Saccharomyces cerevisiae S288C: one gene and its partners. Changing the gene in region 4 together with the main gene of any one other region gives a genetic interaction. Each region holds a gene or a part of one and is shown on either strand. Other genes may lie near its edges.

Evidence for each region.
Region 1: mutations in SLX5 (region 4) and CTF8 together harm fitness more than expected from each alone (negative genetic interaction), as found in Saccharomyces cerevisiae (5 studies listed by BioGRID, with this or other methods).
Region 2: mutations in SLX5 (region 4) and ELG1 together harm fitness more than expected from each alone (negative genetic interaction), as found in Saccharomyces cerevisiae (8 studies listed by BioGRID, with this or other methods).
Region 3: mutations in SLX5 (region 4) and SRS2 impair growth when combined (synthetic growth defect), as found in Saccharomyces cerevisiae (6 studies listed by BioGRID, with this or other methods).

The regions. Positions count from the first base shown.
Region 1 is NC_001140.6:484,867-488,521, forward strand, and holds CTF8 (Ctf8p), read right to left. Parts: upstream 1,766-3,655; coding exon 1,364-1,765; downstream 1-1,363. Other genes in the region: ERG9 (bifunctional farnesyl-diphosphate farnesyltransferase/squalene synthase), read left to right, coding at 1-1,313; LNP1 (Lnp1p), read left to right, coding at 1,960-2,796; EGD2 (Egd2p), read right to left, coding at 2,846-3,370. UniProt on the Saccharomyces cerevisiae protein: Essential for the fidelity of chromosome transmission. Required for the DNA replication block checkpoint.
Region 2 is NC_001147.6:602,217-606,988, forward strand, and holds ELG1 (Elg1p), read right to left. Parts: upstream 2,877-4,772; coding exon 501-2,876; downstream 1-500. Other genes in the region: THI80 (thiamine diphosphokinase), read right to left, coding at 1-126; PNO1 (Pno1p), read right to left, coding at 3,131-3,955; MDM32 (Mdm32p), read left to right, coding at 4,391-4,772.
Region 3 is NC_001142.9:255,820-265,698, reverse strand, and holds SRS2 (DNA helicase SRS2), read right to left. Parts: upstream 8,277-9,879; coding exon 4,752-8,276; downstream 1-4,751. Other genes in the region: protein kinase activating protein DPB11, read left to right, coding at 648-2,942; GWT1 (glucosaminyl-phosphotidylinositol O-acyltransferase), read left to right, coding at 3,147-4,619; TOK1 (Tok1p), read left to right, coding at 8,887-9,879. UniProt on the Saccharomyces cerevisiae protein: ATP-dependent DNA helicase involved in DNA repair at least for UV-induced lesions. The polarity of the helicase activity was determined to be 3' to 5'.
Region 4 is NC_001136.10:425,499-433,755, reverse strand, and holds SLX5 (SUMO-targeted ubiquitin ligase complex subunit SLX5), read right to left. Parts: upstream 4,690-8,257; coding exon 2,830-4,689; downstream 1-2,829. Other genes in the region: APC11 (anaphase promoting complex subunit 11), read right to left, coding at 1-259; YDL009C (uncharacterized protein), read left to right, coding at 508-831; glutathione-disulfide reductase GRX6, read right to left, coding at 731-1,426; YDL012C (uncharacterized protein), read left to right, coding at 2,239-2,283, 2,370-2,648; rRNA methyltransferase NOP1, read right to left, coding at 5,409-6,392; trans-2-enoyl-CoA reductase (NADPH) TSC13, read left to right, coding at 6,822-7,754; serine/threonine protein kinase CDC7, read right to left, coding at 8,024-8,257. UniProt on the Saccharomyces cerevisiae protein: Component of the SUMO-targeted ubiquitin ligase (STUbL) complex SLX5/SLX8 that mediates ubiquitination and subsequent desumoylation of sumoylated proteins and proteins containing SUMO-like domains for their degradation.

The DNA of each region.
Region 1 (3,655 bases), on a different chromosome or scaffold from region 4:
CATTGCATCCGGTCGAGATGAAGGCAGCTTTGAAGCTGAAGTTTTGCAGAACACCGCTATTCTCCATCTATGATCAGTCCACGTCTCCATATCTCTTGCACTGTTTCGAACTGTTGAACTTGACCTCCAGATCGTTTGCTGCTGTGATCAGAGAGCTGCATCCAGAATTGAGAAACTGTGTTACTCTCTTTTATTTGATTTTAAGGGCTTTGGATACCATCGAAGACGATATGTCCATCGAACACGATTTGAAAATTGACTTGTTGCGTCACTTCCACGAGAAATTGTTGTTAACTAAATGGAGTTTCGACGGAAATGCCCCCGATGTGAAGGACAGAGCCGTTTTGACAGATTTCGAATCGATTCTTATTGAATTCCACAAATTGAAACCAGAATATCAAGAAGTCATCAAGGAGATCACCGAGAAAATGGGTAATGGTATGGCCGACTACATCTTAGATGAAAATTACAACTTGAATGGGTTGCAAACCGTCCACGACTACGACGTGTACTGTCACTACGTAGCTGGTTTGGTCGGTGATGGTTTGACCCGTTTGATTGTCATTGCCAAGTTTGCCAACGAATCTTTGTATTCTAATGAGCAATTGTATGAAAGCATGGGTCTTTTCCTACAAAAAACCAACATCATCAGAGATTACAATGAAGATTTGGTCGATGGTAGATCCTTCTGGCCCAAGGAAATCTGGTCACAATACGCTCCTCAGTTGAAGGACTTCATGAAACCTGAAAACGAACAACTGGGGTTGGACTGTATAAACCACCTCGTCTTAAACGCATTGAGTCATGTTATCGATGTGTTGACTTATTTGGCCGGTATCCACGAGCAATCCACTTTCCAATTTTGTGCCATTCCCCAAGTTATGGCCATTGCAACCTTGGCTTTGGTATTCAACAACCGTGAAGTGCTACATGGCAATGTAAAGATTCGTAAGGGTACTACCTGCTATTTAATTTTGAAATCAAGGACTTTGCGTGGCTGTGTCGAGATTTTTGACTATTACTTACGTGATATCAAATCTAAATTGGCTGTGCAAGATCCAAATTTCTTAAAATTGAACATTCAAATCTCCAAGATCGAACAGTTTATGGAAGAAATGTACCAGGATAAATTACCTCCTAACGTGAAGCCAAATGAAACTCCAATTTTCTTGAAAGTTAAAGAAAGATCCAGATACGATGATGAATTGGTTCCAACCCAACAAGAAGAAGAGTACAAGTTCAATATGGTTTTATCTATCATCTTGTCCGTTCTTCTTGGGTTTTATTATATATACACTTTACACAGAGCGTGAAGTCTGCGCCAAATAACATAAACAAACAACTCCGAACAATAACTAAGTACTTACATAATAGGTAGAGGCCTATCCTTAAAGATAACCTTATATTTCATTACATCAACTAATTCGACCTTATTATCTTTCGAATTGAAATGCATTATACCCATCGGTACGTCTAGCTTTGTCACCTTCCCCAGTAAACGCTGTTTCTTGCCGACAAACAATGTGGCCCTCTCTCCGTCAATCTGTAACGACCCAAATCGTATTAAAGTTTCGCCGTCCTGTTCACTGAACCTTCCCTCATTTGGAGAATCTCTCCTCGCCAGCGACGCAAAGTCCTTAGGCAACTCTAGTTCACCTTGAATCTCCAGCATCATCATCCCAAGCGGTGTTATCACCGTGGTCTGCTTTTCTCTTGACTGTGTCAACTTCTGCCATTGACTAGCATCTATATCTACACTAGGCATTCTTTTCAGCTGTTTATTGGGCTGAATGATAGTGATAATTCTTTTTTCTATCACTCCTTTGGCTATATTAGTGGTTAGCTTACTAAAAAAGATTAAAGGAAAAATGAAATTCAAGATGCTAACGTTGACATGTATATTTTAAGAAAACAAAAATCATACAAAGAGGAGATCGGATATAAAAGAATAACATAAATATGTTTAGTGCATTAGGTAAATGGGTCCGAGGCTCTCGCAATGATAAGGACTTTGTGACGAAGTATACCGCAGATTTATCACAAATAACTTCACAGATCCATCAATTAGATGTCGCGTTAAAGAAAAGCCAATCCATCTTGAGTCAATGGCAATCAAATCTGACCTTTTATGGTATTGCGTTAACGGTATTGGCCCTGAGCTACACATATTGGGAGTACCATGGTTATCGACCATACCTTGTGGTGACTGCGCTACTATGCATAGGCTCGCTAATCTTGTTCAAATGGGCATTAACCAAACTCTATGCATTTTATAACAACAATAGGTTACGCAAGTTGGCAAAACTCCGTGCAATTCATCAAAAGAAACTGGAAAAGTTAAAGGAAGAGACCCACTATAATGCTACAAGCTCAATCATCCAACGGTTTTCTTCCGGTGAAGATCAAAACGACGATGCCATGGTACTTCTAGATGATGAATTAAATGCTAAATACCAAGAATTAAACAATCTAAAGACAGAGCTAGAAAAATTTAAGAAGGAAAGCCATGTAAAGGGCCTAAAGAAGGAAGACAGCGATGCATGGTTCGACAAAATCATCAGCGTACTGGCAGGCGGTAATGAATTGGACTCAACAAGTTCGCTCTCTCCCTTCAAAAAAATCATATGTCCACAGTGTCATTGGAAATCCAATTGCTACAGATTGGCCAGTAAGCCAATCATCTTTATCTGTCCTCACTGTAACCACAAAATAGACGAAGTAAAGGAAAGAGAAGACGCCATTGAAGCAAAACAACCGGCACAGCCTTCGCAGTCGGAGAAGGAAAAAACAAAATGATTTTGCGTTAGAATAACTACGTACCCCTATATAATATATTTTTATATCATTATTTAGACAAGGACATGATAGCGTTGACTAAGTCACCATTGTGAGCTTTCAGGGCTTTGATGGCTTGGTTTTTGGAAACGTTAGTTTGTTGAACGACTAACTCGATATCATCCTTATTCAAGTCACCGGCATCAACTTCACCTTCTTCGTCATCTTCTTCTGCTGCGGCGTTGACACTGCCTTCTGCGGCGGCTTGCATGTCAGCTTGGATGTCTTCTGGGGACTTGGTAGCGACGTCTTCGTTAGATGGCATAATACCGCTAGCTTGAGCTTGTTGTTGAGCAGCGGCTAGCTTTTGGGTAAAGTTGTCAACCTTAGCTTCACCGAAGACAACGTAGTTACCACCGGCAGATCTGAAGACTTCTGGCTTTTCAATAGCATAGATTTGGTTGTCCTTCTTCCTGAAAGTGACTCTGATGATACCTGGGATTTGCTTCAAACCCAATTTGCCAATCAATTCTCTGGCTTTCTTTTCGTTCTTGTTTAAGACGGTAACGTTGGCGTTTTCTGGGATAGCAGACATTATCAATTGAGTATGTGGGTGTGTGGTTGCTTGTAAGGGTTGCTCCCAGAAGGAGACTTTACCTTAGTTCTTGTTTAAAATAATCCTTTTCATTCAACTTTTTGTCATTTTTTTCTTCGGCGATGAAAAATTTTCAAAAAAAAAAACAGACCTAACAAAAGGGCAAAAGACCTATTATACTATATGACCGAAAAAACTTACGCCCTATTAAATAAAGAAGAAACCTAAAGAAGATAAACTAAAAACCCTTCTAATATTAGGTCACAATAATTGAAATTTCACTGC
Region 2 (4,772 bases), on a different chromosome or scaffold from region 4:
GAGTAGGGTAGAGTTTTCATCCTCGTTTGGATGGATTAGTTCTTTTAAGTTCATTTTATTTCGGATGTTGATTAAATCAGTACCAATTTTAATACGTTCAGGATTTTCAATACACTCCTCGCTCATAGCAGTGATATTCAGCTTTTTATTGTTCTTTGTGACCAATTGTGATCTACAAATTTCTAGCTTTTATCAAAACCACAGTACTTAAGAAGCTAAATCTTTTATAAACGCCTTATCATTCACGCTTTATTTGTAATTCCCATCAGCCATTTTTTTTCAAGTTTTCGCATATTTTGCATTTTTCGCTGTTTTGAAATATGCACTATGAGGAAATAAAGGCAACTATTAGAAGGAATTTAGGATTGTGCTGCATTTGCTTAATGCAAGGTTGCAGAATTTATTGATATATAAAGTAGTAGTATATTTCCCCGCACTACCATGCTATATTTATTATACATACGTGTTCCTGTAACGATGCACGCAATTTCATATCAGTGTTATTTGTTCTTTGAAAAGCCTGAGTGCAAATGCTCCCATTTTCTCACGACTATGCTCGGATCAGCGTTGAACCATACGTTTTTCAAGACACCCTCTTGTGACAACTGATAGACCAAATCTTTGTATCGTCTTTCTGATACATTTTCACTATGCAACTCAAATATTTGTTTGTTTTCATTCTTGACATTGGCGTCACTTTTAGCGATTTCAAAAACGAAGGGATTGATCTCCGCTTTAATTTGTTGAGTTGTGGCGCTCAGCAGATCAATCTCGGCATTTTCGTTCAGAGTTTCATCATTATAAATTCCTTTGAATTGGTTCAAAATATCAGAAATTTTCTTCGAATTTCTCGTCCTTCTTGCCGACTGAAGATGGTCATACTTCGGTATTCTTGACGCCAAAAAATTTAATGTAGATTCTGTCATTTTTTTGAACCTGTTAACAAGGTATTCGTTATCAAGCCTATGGTTTGCTTCTCTAACATAGGAATACCGAGCTTCCAATTGTTCTTGGATGTGTTGGTAAATATTCAATTCAAACGGTAATAACGGTTGTCTATTGGGGTCATTTAAATGCAATTTATAATCTATCACGTAATCAAATTTTAGTTTCATTTCATCATCCAGATTTTGATCCTGGAAAGTATTAACTTTTTCTGGGGTCATTGTGGTAGAATCTATTTCTTGTCTAACCATGGAACGATTGAGCGTTGCTTGACCAATAACATCATTTATGGAGAGTAGATCAGTTAATTGCGATATATCTTTAACGCTTGAACCAAGAGTTGATGTTAGGACCGGTAGTCTGTTCTTGGATGAAATCAAATCAGCCTCAGTATCAACGCACCAAAACTGCAAGTGCATCAAGCACTTCCTAATATCCGCATTATTTTGTTTTACAACATCGCGAAGCCAGTCGTCACAAACTTCGATTTCAAGGGACTTTAAATATTTTGTTAGAAACGCATAGACTGTGGATGTACTAATTTTCTTAGTATGAAACAAAGAGTTTTGTTCACTTGCCAAGGCAATAAGTTCACTAGGAACTAGTGACAAATCCTTACAAGTCAATACGAGGGGCCTTCGTGAAAATTCACAAAGCTTGCTGATCATTGCCCAATATCCCCTATCATGTTCTTTAAATAAAACATCAACATCATTAAATAAAACAAGCCCGTAGTCACTTTTCCTTTTTGAGGAATCTTTGACATAGTGTGTGGTGGTAAAATCTAGTAGGATATCAAGCAAATCTTTTTTGCTCCTGTTCATGTTTGAATTAACTTCATATATCTGGTAAGAATTATCGTCGCCAGCAATCTCTCTCATGATTGTCTGTATCAGCGTTTTCTTGCCTATTGAATTTCCGTGTAATATCATTAGTGGAACAAATTCGCTCAAGCTGCTATTTGCTTCGCCATTTCTGTAGAAATCTGGACGCAAGTTTTCGTCTTCTTCGAGATCAGGTACAATGAAGTTGGCAAGCTCATCACCAGATCCCTGTTGTTTATTGGGATTTATTCTGTTCAATAGACGGTTCCTCAAGGTAGGCTTTTCTAGCGTATGAAAGGATGTTTCAATCCAATTTTTGATTCGAAGTTTCAATTTGGGTTCAATTAATACTTGTTTTAAAGTGACAGGCTTGAATAGCTGCGGCCATGTGAGAGTTGTATTTCTTTTAATATTTGTGCCAAGTAATACCGGTGCTTGATAGCGAACAGGAATACAAGATGCTGAATTCTTGTCTTTCAACGATTCATAGTCACTAGGAAGAAAATTATGATTTAATGGCGGTATTGTGCGGAAAGGAAGCGGGATATCAACACTCCGATCTGACAGCTCTTTGTCACCTACTGGGAAAATCGATTGATGTAATGGTAATGGTGGCTCTATTTCATTTAGTTTAGAGATGCTATTTAATCTTTTGAACGTGTCGGTTGTCTCATGTTTAAGGAAGTTTTTAATCTTTGATGCTCTTTCATTAAGAAGCGATGATTTGATTCTCGATGTGGAAATTATAGAAATATCATCTTCATGCTCCTGCGAAAGTGCAATTTTGCTACAATTAGTCTCACTTTTGGGACTCTTATCACTGATTACAATAAGATCATCATCGTCGTCATCGCATTTTTCTTTTGTGCGTTTCGTCATCAAAAACTCCTTTGCAGATTTGTGATTAGTAGAAACAGCTTCAATTGGCTTCACAACAGAGTGGTTTAAAAATATTACTGAAGAATCGTCATGTTTGGCTGTTCTGGCGTCAAAAGTGCCTGATTCAGTATCATTTTCGTCATCGATGGTAATCTGTAGAGCATCTTGTCTTCTCACTTTTCTCTTATTTCCTGTCAATATATCAGATAAAGACACGTGCCTTTTCATTGGAAAACCTTCTCTGATTCAAAAAGTTTAATGCTATGGTACCATACGATTTAGTGCAGCGAAGGTGGTCAGTGAAGACGTTAAATACATGAAGCAAATAGCCGGATAATAATACTAAACTAATTTATCACCGCTAACGTTACGCGTTTGGCGTCCTAAAAAAAAGAAGGAAAAAAAAACCTATTTATTCACTCTATTTCGCCATAAAACGACATATAAATATTATACAGATGATGAAAGCCCACAAATTATGTTTAGTAGCGTTCTTTTAATCTAGATGCAACGGTACGTAAGTTCCCATAAACTTTACCTGGAGGGGAACCCAAAATTAAACTAACCACAGATTCTCTTGCCATTCTGATGTGGGTGAACCCGCCCAAAATGTGGATTTTAGAGTCAGCTAAGACAATTCTTGTTCTTGTAGCGTTTTCAATCGCAAATTTCGTTTTACCGTCTTTACCGGCAATACGACCGATGGCTCTCGACAAATGGTCACCTGTTAGAGTCTTGACATCTTTGACTTCAAAAGTCTCAATATATAAATCATCTAGCCTCAATAGTGCGATAGAATCGTCAAGATCAAACCCTAAGGTAAAGGCTTTGATAAAATCGGCCCCTTTTTGCAACGCACCAGGGTCTGTGGTAAATTTAGGATTCGTTCTTAGTTCTACGGATTTGGTCTTTAAATTCATTCTGACTTGCAGCTTCAAGTGCTCGACCAAAGGAGGATAAATTTTTGTCCAACTGTTCCTCAAGGGTGTCATTCTGTGTGGTGGAACCATGATCTTTCTCGATTCAAATTTTATTTTGTTACCCTGTGTTTTGCTAGCTGAAGTGAAGCGAGGTTTCCCCTGGTCATCAACCACTACGGTCTTAGATTCGTGCGTTTTCCGGCTACCTTCTTCGCCCTCTACCTCTTCTTTTGCTGTGTTATTGTCGGAATCATCTAACAGAACGTCGTCATCATCGTCCTCATCGATGCTTTCGGTATTATTTATTCCTATAATTCTACTACTGCCCCCATCTTGTCCACTTACAGGTGTCACAGTAGCCTTTTTCAAAGCAGTAGGCGCAACCATAATGTAGTTTATTTTCACTTCAAGTCTTTTTCTTAACTAAACAGAAGAATATTGAAAACTGCCTATTATTGATGCAATATGTATCTTTCATTGTGATGAGCATCGGTATGATAATAAGGAAAGAAGAAAAATTTTTTCCCGCTCGCACTTTCCGTAAGAGGTGATAAAAAACAGACCTAATACTGTAGTAATCTTAACTGCATTTAGCCCTACATTTATTATTTATGACCTTACTCTTCATATGTAGGTTAAAAAATTCGTATAAAGACACATTTGACTTTTTGTCACTTTTTTTTACTTCTCGTTATTGGTTCTAGCTGATCCTTGACTTACTATGGAGGGATGCATATTAAAGTTGACAGTAGATTTGCGTCAAGAAGTATTAAAACAAAAGGCACATACAGATTATCAGGTGGTGGGAGGTTTATAAAATTCATGCTAATCACACGTTTACGGGTCCCTACAATAAAGCGGCCACTGCTTCCAATTACAAGTCATCTCGTAAGACACTGTATTCGAACTTACGTCGCAACTAATCATGGAAATGTCAGACCTTTTATAACACCTTACAAGAGTTCGTTACCTGTTAGATGTTTGATCGCCCAAAGGCACATCCGAACATTTCCAAGCAATGACAAGTTCACTACCAAGGCTTCCAATATTGAGACTATTTTGCTGAGAAAAAATAATGAGCGAGAGTTCAAGCAATCGCTTCTAGCAGATGCAAAGAATTTTCAAGAAAGGTTCAAAATCAATCTAAAGTGGATTCTTATTAAAAACAACAGGCCGTTCTCTCTGAATGAAATAAGTATTATAG
Region 3 (9,879 bases), on a different chromosome or scaffold from region 4:
TCTGAGATCACGCCCTTAAATTTAGCCGCCAAAACACCGGTCGAACGGCGAAAATGGATCGGAGTCTTGATTGCACCCACACCTCGCATTTTGTGCACTAACATAAAATATGACGAAGTGAGAGTCATGACACACAGAATAACTTAAAAATACTTGAGGAAAAAGTTCTCATATTATGAGGTCATAATAACTACATCGTTATTGTTGCGATATAACTTCAATGTTTTCTGCCTGCAAAAGAATCCTTCCTTTTCCTTCTTTAATTGAAGAGTCCATGTAACCTTGTTTCGTTACTTATATTTATTCACCTTTCTACTTTAGTCACATAACGTAATCTGGGCATAATCATTGAGGTATCATTATTAGCTTGAACTCGTGGTTCCTATTGTCGCCAGGTTTCTTTCAACGCATTTGCTCTTTCCGCTTCGCATACGGCGGTGATCAAATGCAAAACTTACCCTCATCAGTATAAGAGAAGAAAAACTGCATGGACTATTCGCGTATTGCCTGGTAAAGCTATATAGTACTATTGGTAATGTTTGTACTGTTTTATGTACATGATGAATAAGAAGAGACAAATTTTACGTGATATATAAGTCTTCTATTTCTAGTATGGCAGGTATTTTATCAGTAGCATTAATATTACTATGAAGCCCTTTCAAGGAATAACATTTTGTCCGACTGCAATAAATAATGAAATCTTAGCTAAAAAAATATCAAAGAAAATTATTAAGTTAGGAGGTATATTTTCTAAAGATTTGACCAGACAAGTTAATGTCCTTGTTGTTGGGTCCACCACCAATACAAACAAATTTAAATTTGCGGTGAAGCATAGATTCGATATCATATTTATTGACATTCAAGCCATTGATGACATTTATCAGCTCTGGCTGTCTGGAGAAAATATATTGCCGGACTCTAATACGGCAACAATGACAGGATCCACCTATGAGATGCTGAAGATACTTTACCGGCGATTTTCGTTTAAATATTTGCATAACTTCAATATCTTCATTGGCAGAATAACCGACACTAACATAACTTCCATCGATTCATTGGTTAGGAGTATTAAAAAGTTAGGGTGTTCTAGTTATAACTATCAAAACTTTGTAATCAAAGATACCTCTTCACACAATGATGACGATGATCAAGGTCAGAATGGGCAGATATCCATTTTTGTTACGGATACTTTACTAGGAGCAAGAGTTAACGCTGCTATTGAACAAAATATACCTATTGTACATTTCAAATGGATTCTCGATTGCCAAAAAAGAAGCGCACTGTTACCGTACGATCCCTATTATCTTTTACCAAATATTAAAGACCTGCCCTATGATTCAATCGGATCAAACTCTTGCGATTGCTGGGATAAAATAAACACCACCTTTCCAACCAATATCGATGCCCAATCCTCTCTGCAGCGGCAGCAATCCTCCAGTACCCTGACTCCTTCGCTCCCGAAAACATCATCCCTCTTGAATAAATTTAAACCAAAGGGTGAAAAAATATGGGACAAGGCAATGTCTCTACAGCAGCATAGTAAGACAAATTTTTCAGTACTAGGGCAGTCACCATTATCGATAAATAACAAACAAGAAGATTTAAGTGATAATAGTACTTTGATTTTCAAAAATTGTGCGTTTATCATTCATCATATTTTTCCTGGCAATCACCGTTCAATACTAACCAAAATTGTTGTTCAAAATGGGGGTAAAATTGAGACGTCTTACTTGAGCGGCATTTACGATCATTCTTATTACATCATTCCAAGTAATAAAGCTCTTGACTCCTTCAATGATTTACCTGAGATTATAGATGATAATGATGGTATAGTTACAGAATTTTTCATTGAACGCTGCTTGTATTATCAAAAATTACTACACCCAATAGATTTATGGTCAAAACCCTTCCTCAGCACAATAGAGTTTCAAGTTTCGTCTTCTTCAAAGTTATTGCATCATGAATTTTCTTCTTCCCCTTTTCTGAATGTTACTATCACTGGATTCTCTGGCGTAGAGCTGTTACATCTGACTAAAGTATTAAATCTTCTAAAACCAATGGGCATCAATTATGTAGAATACCTCAATAAATCCACTGACATTCTGCTAATCAACTTAGCAGCTTTACCCAGTATCCCGAAAACCCATCCGTTATGGTCGAATGAATTTAGCGATCTTTTTACTCAGTTTTGCATTAATAACAATAATGATGATCCTGGTGATAATAACAGAAAAGATTTTCAAAATAATTCAATCTTGAGAAATTCGATGAAAAGGAAAATTGAATATATCAAGAAATTCCACTCCATACCGGTAGTTACTCCAGCATTTATTTTTAAATTATTGTCCGCTGCATCTGGAGAAAATAATGAAATCTTTTTAAACAATATCAAGTGGTGTATTATCTGCCCAAGAGGACACAAGGACGATTTTAAATGTAAGATAAAAAAACCATACTATACCAGCATTAGTTCAGAAAAAAAGTACCAAAACAATGATCCAAAAATCGACAAAACTATTCTTTTGAAAAGAAACAATTCCTCATTATCGGAGCACTCTATGAAAGATACCAAAAACGAATTATTGCAGAAAATTAGAGAAACTGATTCTGGAAGAAAAAAGCGTAGTGTCTCATCGAGTATCATGGATGTTTCTTCAGAGAGACAAATGCCGGATACGAAAAGGATCAAGTTGGAGTCACTGCCAAAAAATTTCGTTCCTAAACAAATTAAACGAACCACGAGTTGGGGCACAATAATGTCAGAAAATGTGCCTACAGAGCAGCCGACTGCAATTTCTAATCCAGAAGAGATCCCAAGAACTGAGGAAGTTTCACATACTCAAGTTACCTATGGCTCCATTCAAGATAAGAAACGTACTGCCTCTTTAGAAAAACCTATGAGACGACAGACAAGAAATCAGACAAAGGAATTAGATTCTTGAAATGTAGTCCGTAATTTTATAAGATATTCATTTACATACGCCATCTACAGCATTATTCAAATCTACTCATCTATATGTATTACCGTTTTGTATGATAATACTTTCCATGACATGCTCGCGTGAAAAAACAGCATGAGAAAAAGAGGATCGCAATAAGAAGACACGTAAATATCTAAATAAATGGCAACAGTACATCAGAAGAATATGTCGACTTTAAAACAGAGAAAAGAGGACTTTGTGACAGGGCTCAATGGCGGTTCTATAACAGAAATTAACGCAGTGACATCAATTGCTTTGGTAACTTACATATCATGGAACTTATTGAAAAATTCCAACCTTATGCCTCCTGGCATTTCCAGCGTGCAATACATAATTGATTTTGCATTGAACTGGGTTGCTTTGCTTCTATCTATTACTATTTATGCTAGTGAACCATACCTTCTAAACACGCTAATACTGTTACCTTGTTTGCTCGCATTCATATATGGAAAATTTACTAGCTCGAGTAAACCTTCTAATCCAATATACAATAAAAAAAAAATGATTACACAGCGGTTCCAACTAGAAAAAAAGCCGTATATTACTGCGTATCGTGGTGGGATGCTTATTCTGACTGCTATTGCCATCTTGGCTGTAGATTTTCCAATTTTCCCAAGGAGGTTTGCCAAGGTGGAAACTTGGGGGACATCCCTGATGGATCTTGGTGTAGGATCATTCGTTTTCAGTAACGGTATTGTTTCTTCTAGGGCACTGTTGAAAAACCTAAGCTTGAAGAGTAAACCCAGCTTCTTAAAAAATGCATTTAATGCCTTAAAATCAGGAGGAACTCTATTGTTCCTAGGATTGCTGAGGTTGTTTTTTGTAAAAAATTTGGAATATCAAGAACATGTCACAGAATATGGGGTTCATTGGAATTTTTTTATCACCCTATCATTGTTGCCACTTGTATTGACCTTTATTGATCCCGTCACAAGAATGGTTCCACGCTGCTCAATTGCAATATTCATTTCATGCATTTATGAATGGCTACTTTTAAAGGACGATCGCACTTTAAACTTTTTAATTTTGGCTGATAGAAATTGTTTCTTCAGTGCTAATAGAGAAGGCATCTTCTCATTTCTAGGTTATTGCTCGATTTTTCTTTGGGGCCAAAACACGGGATTTTACTTGTTGGGAAATAAACCAACTTTAAACAATCTTTATAAGCCTTCTACGCAAGACGTAGTTGCAGCATCAAAGAAGTCTTCGACTTGGGACTATTGGACTTCAGTAACCCCATTAAGTGGCCTCTGTATATGGAGTACAATTTTTCTTGTTATCAGCCAGTTGGTTTTTCAATACCATCCTTATAGTGTTTCAAGAAGGTTTGCTAACTTACCATATACTTTGTGGGTCATTACTTATAATTTACTATTTTTGACTGGGTACTGCTTGACTGACAAAATTTTCGGTAATTCTTCGGAATATTATAAAGTTGCCGAATGCTTGGAATCAATCAACTCCAATGGGTTGTTTTTATTTTTGTTGGCAAATGTCTCTACTGGTTTAGTCAATATGTCTATGGTCACGATAGATTCTTCACCCTTAAAATCATTCCTGGTTTTGTTGGCATACTGCTCATTCATAGCTGTCATATCGGTTTTCTTGTATAGAAAAAGAATATTCATTAAGCTATAATAACACACCATCCACATTTCCATGTAGTTCGTATACAAACCCTACCAGTAAAATAAAATTAACTCCTATGTGCTTTAAATAAAAATTATAAACCGCCTCCAATAGTTGACGTAGTCAGGCATGAAAGTGCTACTAATCGATGACTATGATTTCACCGTTGTTTAATTTTGACTTTTTTTTCGCACGTGACAGCTGAGAAAATATATCCATTTGACTTGATGCAGGTTCATTCTTCACCTTTTTGGAAAATTTCTGTGTCTTTTTCATTGCTGCGTCAGCCAAAAACTTAGCATTGGAGATTATTGGACGATTGTCAACTGTAGTGTCATCCGGATTATGTAATAACTCAGCAGCTGTTGTATTTCTGCTGTCATCTTCCTCAAATTCACTCTTCAAATCTATCACTTCCTCCACCTTAACCTTGTCACCTCTCTTAGACTTTCTATTTCGAGTTTTTGGTTTTATTTTTTTCGTCTTTTTCGAGCCCAAAAGCTCTCTCCTCCTTTCTATTGATATGTCATTTAATAACTCCTCATCGGATAGATCTAATTCGTTGTTTATATCTTCTATTAAGTTCGTTGGCTGATCAGAATTACTGCACGCGCTAGAAAACCCAGAAAATTCACTCGACGTAAGCGACTGCCCTGATTTATTGGAGTATTCCGGAGGATGCAGTTCATCAACATTTGACTGGGTTTCTATTCTGAAAGTTCCTGCAGTTGCGAAATGAATATTACGAGTAACTTTGTCCTTCCTCGTAGGTGATGGTCTCATTAAATCATCTGACATGTGGCTCGTCTTATTTGGAGATGCTCCTTTTAACGACCTCGTTGATGATCGTGGTGATATGTCTGTGATGGACCTATCTTCTCTTCTCAGAAAAGGAATATTTTTCCCAGTAGAAGAATGAAACTCCTGCCTACTAGGTACATTAGTTGTTGAAACGTATTGAGGTGCATACACCTTTTTCTTTGTAGGAGAATGGAATGATGTAGTTTCTGGAGCGTACCTTTTTTCTGGACTTTTAACTCTACTTTTAGGAGCGTAATTGCCATTGATTTTGGATGGGCGTGATTTTTCAATAAGTTTCTTCTGTGGGAATATAGAGTTTTGCGTTTCGAGTCGTAACTGGTCCGCAGCTGACGTGAAATCACTAACAGAACCCAATAATTTATTTCTAGACAACTGTATTCCATAGACATCATTCATTTGTATCCCTTGCCAAATCATCCTTTCTCTCCTATTTTCAATGAATTGGTTATAGTCTTTGCGCAATTGGTCAAGGGAGAATAGTTTATCATCTTCAGCAGGCGGCTTTTTGTTCAAAATTCGGTATAGTTTTTTGATACTATTCGTACTTTCAAATAATTTTTGGCTATCGGACATGGCTTTTATCAAGTCAGTAGTCAAAAATCGGCTTGCAATTCTTGGTCTATCGACATCTTCCACAGTTACAGTATTTGATAGGTACAACAGGTATTTTGCACGAGTCTGTGCAACAAAAAACATTCTTCTTTCCTCATCTATAGAATCTTCCACGGATAAAACTCTAGTCTTTTTTGGGCTTGCATCTTTCTTACTATTTTCTTGATCTTCTTCTTCGTCCTCCTCTGATTCGTCTTTCTTATCATCGTTGAACACACAAGGAATTATACCTTCTTCGCATCCAGGAATAAAAACTACCGGCCACTCAAGACCTTTGGCACCGTGAATTGTAGATATCGTGACAAACCCATTCTTCTCACGTTTTATTTTTGCATCTTTATTGGATTCCGACTCTTCCTCCTCAGCTGCATCAGAATGAAGGGAAAGTGAATTGAAGAAATTACGGAGGTATTCTTTTGGAGTGATGACCTTGTTCTCTATTGGTTCGGCTTCATCTGTTGCTGCTTTAATGGCTTCATTTTTTTCTTTATCTGAAGATTCTGACTTGGAAAGAAGAGCCAGGAAATAGTTTTTCAAAAGTTCAATATTCTTATGTCTTGCGTTTAATAAATTAGGTTCGGATTTTTCAAGCTGATCATTTTTTTTCTTACCATCCTTGTACAAGTATTCGTATTTCAGACCTGATAATTCATATAGCTTATCAAATAAATCTGAAAGACCCCCTAGTAAAGTGCTCTGGAGCAACAATTGACAATTTTCTATCATTGAAATGAAGTCAGCAATCACAGAACGGCCTTTCGTCGGTATGTCTAGCATTATTTTTTTACTACTTATGTCTTTCAATATTTGGAAACATGACACATCGGTAGCTAACGTGTCCAATGCGTTCTTAATCTTCTCACCGGTAGCAGGACCAAGGCCCCTTGCTGGATATAAAAGTGAAGCAAGAATTGCATGTTTGTCATTCGGAGAAAATATCAATTTTAATAAATTTAACATCGCTCTTGTTTCCTTGGAATCCCAGAAACTGTGGCCCCTAATAATTTTATAGGGTATCCGATGTTCTATTAATGCACTTTCGATCCTTTTAATTTGTCTTCGTTGTCTTACTAGGATAGCAAAGTCATTAAATGTGAATAGGTTTGGCAATGCCTTCAAATATAGTAGTTCCCGAACTAAAGAAGGTGCTTCCAAAAAGTAAGCGGGGAAATTCATGTAAACTGGTGGAAAATCCAGGTCAAATTGGGCACGGAGTGGAGCCCTATTCTGCCGACCTTTGTTTTGTTGCGTTATTAAAATTTCGCTTGTATTTAGAATTTTTTGTGATGAACGATAATTTTCAACAAGTATGATAGTTGAGTACTCGATGGGACATTTTCTGCCCATTTCTAGAAAGTTGTGCGCTAAGGCGTTTCTGAAAGCATATATGCTTTGATCAGGATCACCTACGATGGTCATCCCCCTCGAAAGATGATGATTTCCCTTAGCAAAAAGAAACATCAAGTCCAATTGAATGCCGTTAGTATCTTGAAATTCGTCAACTAAAACATGCTTTATGTTGGATAAAACACGCACTCTAGTCAGCAAACGAAAGGTGTACATTAATAAGTCATCAAAATCTAACGTATTTTTCTTGCTTAGCTCTGATTGGTATATTTGGTAAAAGTAACCAAGCGCGGCGTCATGATTCGAATCTAAGATGTATTCCTCAGGTAATATTGCGTTTGATTTTAGCTTTGATATCTGTTTCTTGATCAGCTTCGGATGAATAGTCCATTCATCTCCATTTTTACTCGGCATACAAAGATTTACTTTCCTTGTGATTGAGGAAGCATAATCCCTTATTTGGTCGGGAACTTTTTCGATCATATCATCTAAAATGACATCTATTTCCTTCTCATCAATAATTCTCCAGTCTTTCTGTAGATCCACCAAGTGGCCAAATCTATAAAGTATTTTCAGGCAAATACTATGAAAAGTACCAATTAAGAGCTCCGAAATATTCACGCCTGCCCCGCGTAACATTTCTTGCAAACGCTCTTTCATTTCGTTAGCAGCTTTGTTAGTGAAAGTAGTCACTATAATATCGCGGGGATGAATATGGTGGTGCAGAATAAGATACGCTACTCTTGAAGTTAAAACCTTAGTCTTCCCTGTGCCGGGACCGGCAATGACCTGCAGCCCTCTAGTGTAATCAAAGAGGGCCGCTGCTCTCTGTTGAGTATTTAACTGGGATACTAAATGCAACCAAAGATCATTGTTCGACGACATTTGCTATCCCTAAGTACCGGTAGAAGAAAGATCAAATTGGAATGATACTCAAAGTGCAGAGTACAATTATGGATGGCAAAAGAAACTAGAGGGACAGGAAGCTGTCTAAAAGCTGTAGAGAAATATTCTTATCTTGCCGACTGCAAATTTATCGAGACTCTGCGAAGGTAGCCTAAGCAGTAGTATCAGGATAGCTGGAGGTAACTCTAAACTCGCTCCTATTCTTCTTCAGCATCGTTCTAATTGTTGTCACTTTTGTTTGTTTTGGTTTTTTTGGGAGTTTTTCGCATTCGCGTCTCGTTACCCTAGCATGTTTTAAGCGGCGCTATCATTATGGTTGAAGAGAAAGTTGTAGTTTATCAACAGTTAGATACTTGATATACAATACGAAGCAGTGGTTGTGTATACAAGTGAAGTACTCAATGTAATATACATTACCTGAGTACTCAGTACCATCTTGGTTATTCAATATGGCAAAAATGCCTGACCCTATGTATCTTTTTCCATCAAAAATAGCCGCATCTCGTAGATCGTGAGCAGATGTCTTCACTCCTTTCTAGCAGTATAACAAAGCATATTTCTTGTATTTATTTTACCGATTTCTATATATATGACAAGGTTCATGAACAGCTTTGCCAAACAAACGCTGGGATATGGCAATATGGCGACAGTGGAGCAAGAGAGCTCAGCTCAGGCTGTTGATTCTCATTCAAACAACACACCGAAGCAAGCTAAGGGTGTTCTTGCAGAGGAACTAAAGGATGCATTGCGGTTCCGGGACGAAAGAGTTAGTATTATTAATGCAGAGCCTTCTTCAACACTGTTCGTCTTTTGGTTTGTGGTTTCATGCTATTTCCCTGTGATTACTGCCTGCTTGGGTCCCGTAGCTAACACTATCTCGATAGCCTGTGTAGTTGAAAAATGGAGATCCTTAAAGAACAACTCCGTGGTGACAAATCCACGAAGCAATGACACCGATGTTTTGATGAATCAAGTAAAGACAGTTTTTGATCCTCCTGGTATTTTTGCCGTTAATATCATCTCTTTGGTACTGGGTTTTACGTCAAATATTATACTAATGCTACATTTCAGTAAGAAGTTGACGTATCTTAAATCTCAGTTAATAAATATAACAGGATGGACAATAGCTGGAGGGATGCTTTTGGTGGACGTGATTGTATGCTCCTTGAATGACATGCCCAGCATCTACAGTAAGACTATCGGATTTTGGTTTGCCTGTATCAGTTCTGGTCTATATTTGGTATGCACCATTATTTTAACAATACATTTTATTGGATATAAATTAGGAAAATATCCTCCAACGTTCAACCTTTTGCCCAATGAAAGAAGTATCATGGCATACACTGTACTATTGTCTTTATGGTTGATTTGGGGTGCGGGTATGTTTAGCGGTTTATTGCACATCACTTACGGAAATGCATTATATTTCTGCACGGTATCATTATTAACCGTGGGACTAGGTGACATCCTGCCCAAGTCGGTTGGCGCCAAAATCATGGTTTTAATCTTTTCGCTATCTGGTGTTGTCTTGATGGGTTTAATAGTGTTTATGACAAGATCCATCATTCAAAAGTCCTCTGGC
Region 4 (8,257 bases):
AGGTTGGTGTATCAAGCCAACGGTATATACAATGATCATGGAAGTTATGATGACATAGCCCAATCACTAAAGGGCATTGATCGCCTGGAAATTTACAGCTTGGACAGGTACCGTTATAACTGGCACGACAGATACCACAGACATCCTCGTCTTCATCATTGCCAATTGGATCGTTATTGGCTGCGTCCTCATCAGATGTGCTAGGGATGTGCCATGACCAAGCAAACACACTGTGCACTTCGTTTATTTTAACTTTCATATTTTTATAATCTGTATTGCCACTTTGCTTGTTAAACTCTCCCGATATTGTACAAAGTTTTTGAAGAATGCATTATTTTTTTATCTGCAGACACGGAAGATACAAAAGTTATCTCGGCAGCTTACCCTTTATATCGAATGCAGGCGTAGACAAAAGTGCGTTGCATAACTTACCAAGGTGAAGTGCATGGACCAGCAAAGGATAGAAGTTATTGTAAACATCGAAACCATAAACTTATATATGTATATATGAAGGCATTAAGCGTTTTATGTTTTCACAACCCTTTTAAGAGATGTCTTGGACAAAAAAGCTTCTTCGTTGGTGATAGCTTCTTTATTCCAACTCCGAAACGCCTTGTGCTAGGAAAACTACGCCTTTCCAACTACACTGCATTTCACGACCTAATCATTCACGACCTCTTTATTTATATATTTATTCTTAATTTTTTCTTCTTTCCTTTTTGTAACAATTTCAATTATTGGAAGGTTTTTCACGTTGCTCAACCGAGAATTTACCATCACTCCAGACTTGTAATGATTCTAAAAGTTTCCCTTGAGTGTGCAGTTTCTTGATTTCTTCATTACCTCCTCTTGATACTCCATTAACCAAAAGGTTTGGAACAGTTCCTCTACCGGTCACCAACTTGATATATTCTTGCAGCTCTTCCCCATGTCCATGTTTGTCAAGTTCTATAATATAGTAGTTTGGGATAAACTGATACTCATTTTCAAGCAGTTCCTTCATGCCCTTGCTATATGAACAGGTGCTTTTACTAAATATTATAATCGGAGACAAGTCTAGTATGAGGGAGTATTCTTTTTGAACATTAAAAGCTTTGGTTATTCGCGACCCTTTATCGTTTTTAATGGCCGACAAACTATCATCAACCGATGCTATGGGCTGTTGGAGTCCCACCTTCTGTTTTATTTCATTAATTTCTTCGTCTACTTCAGAGCTCCCCTTATTCGTGGTAGAAGTCGGCATAGCAGCATATTCCCTGGAAGATCCTCCAGCCATATTGTCCATATTAGTACTAAATGCTTTAGAAGTTTCCTCTTTTATCTCTACCGTCAAGAAGTTCGCATTTTGCGCTACGAAAAACACTAACAACAATAATAGCGTTGTAATGCTTAAAATTCTAGCATTTCTCTTATTGGAAGGTATCATAATAAAATTGTTTCTATATTAAACCGCTAGGTTGCTAAGGTTTCGTCTTTTCTATCTTACGATAATTTGCTTAAAAGTTCATTTAGAGAATAGATAGTGATCTTTCCCAGTATAATGTTTTCCCGATTTCGCGAACGCTCCGCCTCAGGCGCCCCGGGACGCGTCATGCGCGTTCCAGAAAGTTAACTAACTGCTAGTGCATTCAATTTCTCAAGGCGTAGTATTTGGGATCTATAAAGCCTTCGACATTAAGCACTATGCTTAAAAGCGAACAGCCTGCGCCACTACTTAAGAGCGAATCTTGTGTGGAGGGATGACTAGGTCCAAAGAGGGAGAAAAGGATCTTGCGGAAAAGTCAACAACACTAATCGGTAGCTGAGTCTGTCAGTGCATCCTTACTGGCTTACTATTTTCATTCATGCTGCAAGTAGATTATCCTCTAGTTAAATTAAACGCGGATGAACTACGCCATTAAATCCATCATAAGAAACTAATTACTACTTTTAGGAAATTAGCCAACTAAAAACTGCTGAAACGCCACATTTCACATAAAACCCCACGGAGCAGTAATGGGAGATCTTAAGCTCAGCCCAGTACATATGTCCATCAGCCTTGAATAGCCACGGTGAGTTCTCGAAGCTTCCTTCCACCTAGTCCAGAATATTTCTTGGTAAATGGCTCGAAGTTTTCGTATTAAACGATGCTATCAGCGGCATCGTGAAATATTGAAATATAAAAAGTATTTACGCAACCGAAAAGGATATTAAGACAAACCCATACAATAGCCCATAAACCAAGCAAATACACATCTCATGTCAGCTCAAGATTATTACGGAAACTCTGCCTCCAAACAAAGCGTACGTTAATTTTACAAGTTTTGCCTTTAGAAGATCACATCGTACTAACGAGCCCTTGTATTTTCATTACATCACTTTCGATTCAGTATTCTCGTCCTAGCGCTCCACCACCAGGATATGAAACGGCGTCTAGAGGTTACGCTCCATCGCAAAGCCAACAGAACTATTATCCACCTCAACAGCAGCAGCAGCAGTATCAGCAACAACCTCAATACTATCAGCAACAGCAGCCCCAATATTACCAACAACACCCACAGCAGCCCATTTATGTCCAACAACAACCGGCCAGTTCTGGAAATGAAGACTGTCTAGCGGGCTGTCTAGCGGGTTTATGTTTATGCTGTACTTTGGATATGCTGTTTTAGAGTATCTCCATATCTTGTGGGAGCAAACCCTTTCACACAAATCCACTATATAAAACAAAGCACAATTGCACCTCTGATCTTTTAATCTTAATTAAATAAGCGTGATTAAAGTGTTCATGCAAGTAGATAATATATAATGATGATAAGTTCGAAAATGCCCTTATAAAAATTAAACCGCGTGCTAGAAGTAAACCTCCTTCAACCTGCCTCTTGAACGAATAAGCTTCTTACAAGAATCTGCGGGACATAATTTGGGGCCATAATTATCCGGATGAGCCGAACCCTTTAGTTGAGCTAGTTTCTTTTTGGGCATCTTAGATTTTTTTTTTGCATTGTCAATCCTGGCGAAACACCTACCACAAAATGCATGACCACACGATGCAATAAACGTTCGTTTTGATAAATCTCTATCAAGCATTGATGGTCTGGCTAGGGTTTGGTAGGGGCAGTGGAATTTGTATTTTGACACTAACCCTTCAAATGAAACACCACGATCCTTTTGACTGATTCCAGTAAAATCATCCGGTATTCCGACCCCCAATTCTGCGCCACACAAGCAACAAACAGGAATATCCTCGAGTGTTTTTGCTAAATCGTCATCTGTCACAATGATGGTTTCTTCTTTACCATTTTTCGTAATGTCTAATTTCATTTTTGGCGTAGTATCAAATGACGCGCTATAACCTTCGGGTAGGCTGGCTGCCCTAGCTTCGAATTCTTCCTGTTGGGCTCTGGTTTTGTTCATTAGATTCTTCATGACCACATCCCGCTCTCGTTCTTCTCTCTCTTGGATCATATCAATGATATTTTGAGTGTGTCGTTCCTCGTCAGCATCGCTCAATGCTGGGCCACTCCACAAACGACTTAAGAACCCATCCTCTCCATTGAAATTAAGATAGTTTGTGATTGATTCACGTAATGTGCCACGATGGAAAACTCTTCCTGCCGTTCTTTCTTGTCTTTCCAATGCTTCTCGGTGAAGTCTCAAGGCCTCTTCCTGAGTATTTCTGACCCTATCAATGGCCCAATTCTGCAGCAGTTGATTTCTGAACTCAGTGAAGAGTGCCATTAGTTCTTCTTCACATTCTTGCAAAGTAATTGGAGCAACATTTTGTAAAATAGACCTGAATTCATGCAGTGACTCTGCACGATGAAAAGCACTACGAATATCAGGCGTATATGATTGTATTCGTTCCCTGATTGATTGTAACCTAATAGATGTACTTATATTTTCGTCACTGGACACCCTTTGCTGTTGTACCCTACGTTGTCTTTCTGCAATCCGTCTGCTCATTCGCATACGGCTCTCCCTACGAGCCCTTTGAATAGCTTCTGGTAAATTATGGGTATCATCTGTCCAATCTTCATCGTTTTCATCAGACCGGTCCACAAATAAATTACGGGCTCTTGTAGCACTCCTTCTCAGTAACTGCCTGCGTGATGCGCCTAGATCTTCTTGGAATTCAAATGACCTTCTTATCGGTATGTCTGTTGTCGTCGCAGTTACCTCAAGCCTCTCCCCGCCTGGCAGGTTCAGTGTCACTCTGGGTCGTGTTGTTCTCTCTTCAACTATTGTCAGGCCATCATCACTTTCATTGTTATTACCATTATCATTCAAGTACCCGTTTGTGTTATCTACTTGTATTGTTCTTGGAGTTTCTAACGTTTCAGAACCTGGCTCCTGATCAAGATCGACGTAATGTGCAGAAGGATCAATAGGTCCATCGTCTCCAAAAAACCGTCCAACTTCTCGTATTATAGTGATATCGTCGTTATTAGCTTGAAAATCAGGGCGCTCAGAGCTTGCTGTTATGTGAGTCCGTTGAGAATTCCTGCTCCTTGAATCTGACCTCACAAACCTATTTAAAGCATCACGTCGTCTCCCTACCCGTCTGTCTGGGTACAACCTCACAGGAAGGTTAGCCTCGCGAATAGAAGCGTCTTCTTCCTTATCACTATCTATTAATATAACTGTCTCATTTGGATTATTGTCTGATGGGCTATTATTGCTCTTTGTTCGACCGTTAGTATCGCTATGCATTCTATTATTTCGACTATTAGAGGAGCTCCGCGTTCCAAATAATAATTTTTGGACTGAAATCTTTTCAAAAGTTCACTCCTAGACTGAAGCTCCTAGTGCAAATTTCGACTTGGTTATTACCAATCAACGCAACACACGCTCTTCTTAATGATTAAGTCTTCGTTTTGGTCGCACACTGCCTCTCATCCATGTTAAATAGTAAATATTGCGACCTTGCGTATACAGTGATGTTTCTTATGGGCAAAGCCAAAAAAAAAAAAATACGTAAGAGTGACAGATGAAGAAGTGACACTTTGAACAAAAGACTCTATCAAAATTTTTTCAGATTCAATCCAAGGATAAAGAGAAATCTATGATGTAGTGTTACAAGAATTAATGATATATGGTCATCAAACAGTGTCGAGACTGGAGAACAGCTTATCGATATTGTTCCTACCTTTAAAAAACTCGAAATATGATTATGATTTCTACTTGCTTGCTCTTAACAATTAATGACCAAAAAGTCACCACATATACTCTTTTTTTTTTATATGGCGAATACGTACAATACTTTTGTTCTCTAAAAGAATTTAGTAATATCTATTTTACAAAGTCGAGGGTTACAAAAACTTCAAATAGGAAGTGAAACTGAATGGGGGAAATATATATAAACGAAACAATTATTCTGCTAATAATTGAGCAAGCTACCAGAAACTTTTGACTAATTTCCTTTATTCAACTTATTTCTTCAAACCGCTTCTCATGTATCTACCAACGACGATACAATGGTCTCTTTCATATGGCTCTAAAGTCAATTGTTCTAATGGCTTAATACGTTCCTCACGTAACTTTTGAACTTCTCTAGCAAAAACGGTTTCCGCGTCTACAGTAGAATCAATACAGTTAGCCTTAATGGAGATAACAACACCACCTTGGTCCTTCAAGAACATATGAGAGTTCAATGCAATAATACGAGCTTGATCAGGCTGGGCAACATCTGCGAAGACACAGTCAACCATACCAATCAACATTCTGTATTTTTGTGGGTGTCTAGCATCTTCAATGATTGGGATGATATTAGGTCTCTTCTTTGCCATAGAAATCAATTCTCTGCCTGGTCTGTGAGAAAATTCTACGGCGTAGACAACACCTTCTGGACCAACAACATCTGAAACGTGAGAAACAGAAGTACCGGAAGCAGCACCTAAATATAAAACTTTCTTGCCTGGGGCAATAAATAATTCATCTAGACCACCCATAATACCGGCAGCCAACTTAGATCTGAATGGGTTCCATACACGGTATTCGACCTTGGTTGGTGGGACACCATCTTCCTTAGATGGTTCTTCAACGGAGATTCTCTTTTCACCATAAACTGATTCACCTGGGGCCATGTTCTTGGTAACTAGCAAATCTTCTTTACCTCTAGCAATGTAAACACCGGCATGTCTATGTGGTTCAATAACGACCTTGGCACCACCACGGGCACCACCAGCAGCGCCACCTCTACCACCTCTGGAGCCACCACGGGCACCACCACGAGAACCGCCTCTACCACCGAAGCCGCCTCTGGAACCACCACGGGCACCACCACGAGAACCGCCTCTACCACCGAAGCCACCTCTGGAACCACCGCGAGCACCACCACGGGAACCGCCTCTACCACCGAAGCCACCTCTGGAACCTCCACGGGAACCACCTCTGCTACCTGGTCTGAATGACATTACTGTTTTAGTTGATTTGAGTTAATTTGATCGGAGTTATTGAAAGCAATGGGCAACTTAGATTTATCCGATGAATGATATCTAATTGTTTCTCGAAGAATAACTTATATAACAGTAGTATACCGATGTAAGGAAAACTTCTTGGCTATGTAAAACTTTTTGAAAGTTAGAGGAAGAAAGTATTATACATTCAAGAGAGATGAGCTTTCCAATTTGAAAAATTTTTCAAGAAAAAGAAAAAATTTGAAAAAAAAAAAAGAAAAATATAATAAACATATCATTTTGTACGCAAAAAGTTAAGGAATTATGAAAAGGGACTAAGAGCGTGAATTTTACAGAACGGAGGACAGTAAGATTATATTCTATTTAGCTATCTAGAAACCAATTGAGCTATTTGAGAGAGATACATATTTTGAATTTAATTTGAAAATGCCTATCACCATAAAAAGCCGCTCTAAAGGGTTAAGGGACACTGAAATTGACTTATCCAAAAAGCCTACTTTAGATGATGTTTTGAAAAAAATCTCTGCTAATAACCACAATATCAGCAAGTACAGGATAAGATTAACCTACAAAAAGGAATCTAAACAAGTTCCGGTTATTTCAGAATCGTTTTTTCAAGAAGAGGCTGATGACTCAATGGAATTCTTCATCAAAGATTTGGGTCCCCAAATTTCATGGAGATTAGTCTTCTTTTGTGAGTATTTGGGTCCAGTCTTGGTTCACTCCCTTTTTTATTATCTATCTACCATTCCCACAGTTGTTGATAGATGGCACAGTGCTAGCTCCGACTATAATCCATTTTTAAACAGGGTTGCATATTTTTTAATTTTAGGACATTATGGAAAGAGATTATTTGAAACCTTATTTGTTCACCAATTCTCTTTAGCTACTATGCCAATTTTCAACCTGTTCAAAAATTGTTTCCATTACTGGGTTCTAAGCGGTCTCATTTCATTCGGTTACTTTGGCTACGGCTTCCCCTTTGGGAATGCTAAGTTATTCAAATACTATTCATATTTGAAATTGGATGACTTGAGTACATTAATTGGTCTTTTCGTGCTTTCAGAACTATGGAACTTTTATTGCCACATTAAATTGCGCCTATGGGGTGACTATCAAAAGAAGCATGGTAACGCTAAGATCCGTGTCCCATTGAATCAAGGTATTTTCAATCTTTTTGTTGCTCCCAACTATACTTTTGAAGTTTGGTCTTGGATTTGGTTTACTTTTGTGTTCAAGTTCAATTTATTTGCCGTTTTATTTTTGACTGTTTCAACAGCTCAAATGTACGCATGGGCTCAAAAGAAAAACAAAAAGTATCATACCAGAAGAGCATTCTTGATTCCATTTGTATTTTGATCCTCCTGTTTGCAACATGCCCAAATGCAAGGTAAAGAGATATTAGCTTTCACGAAGTGGCGTAGTAGCACTATTGTTTAAGTATCGTCTGCACCTGTGCCTTTTGGTATTTGGCACTATCTTAAGCGCATGCCACCAATTATGCTAAACCGTTTCACTTTAAGAAATTTTTATTTAAATCTTTCACTATGCAAATATGTAAGTACTTTTAAAATTCTCTTTCCAAAGAAAAGGAAATTATTTCAGACTAGCAGTAATTTATCACTTTGCTATTCAGATATTAGGAGAACATCCTTATCGAGCAAATCTGCCTCGCTTGAGCTGACAACGTCATCTTCGTCAGTACTCTCGCCATCCAGTAAATATGTGTTTTCATTCAATTCATTGAAAAACGGGGTTTTCAGTAAATCTTCTGCTGAACTACGCTTTTGAGGATCCATTTCGAAGCATTGTTCCAAAACCTGGAAGCACCAATAATGATCGGACCAAATTTCTTCTTGATA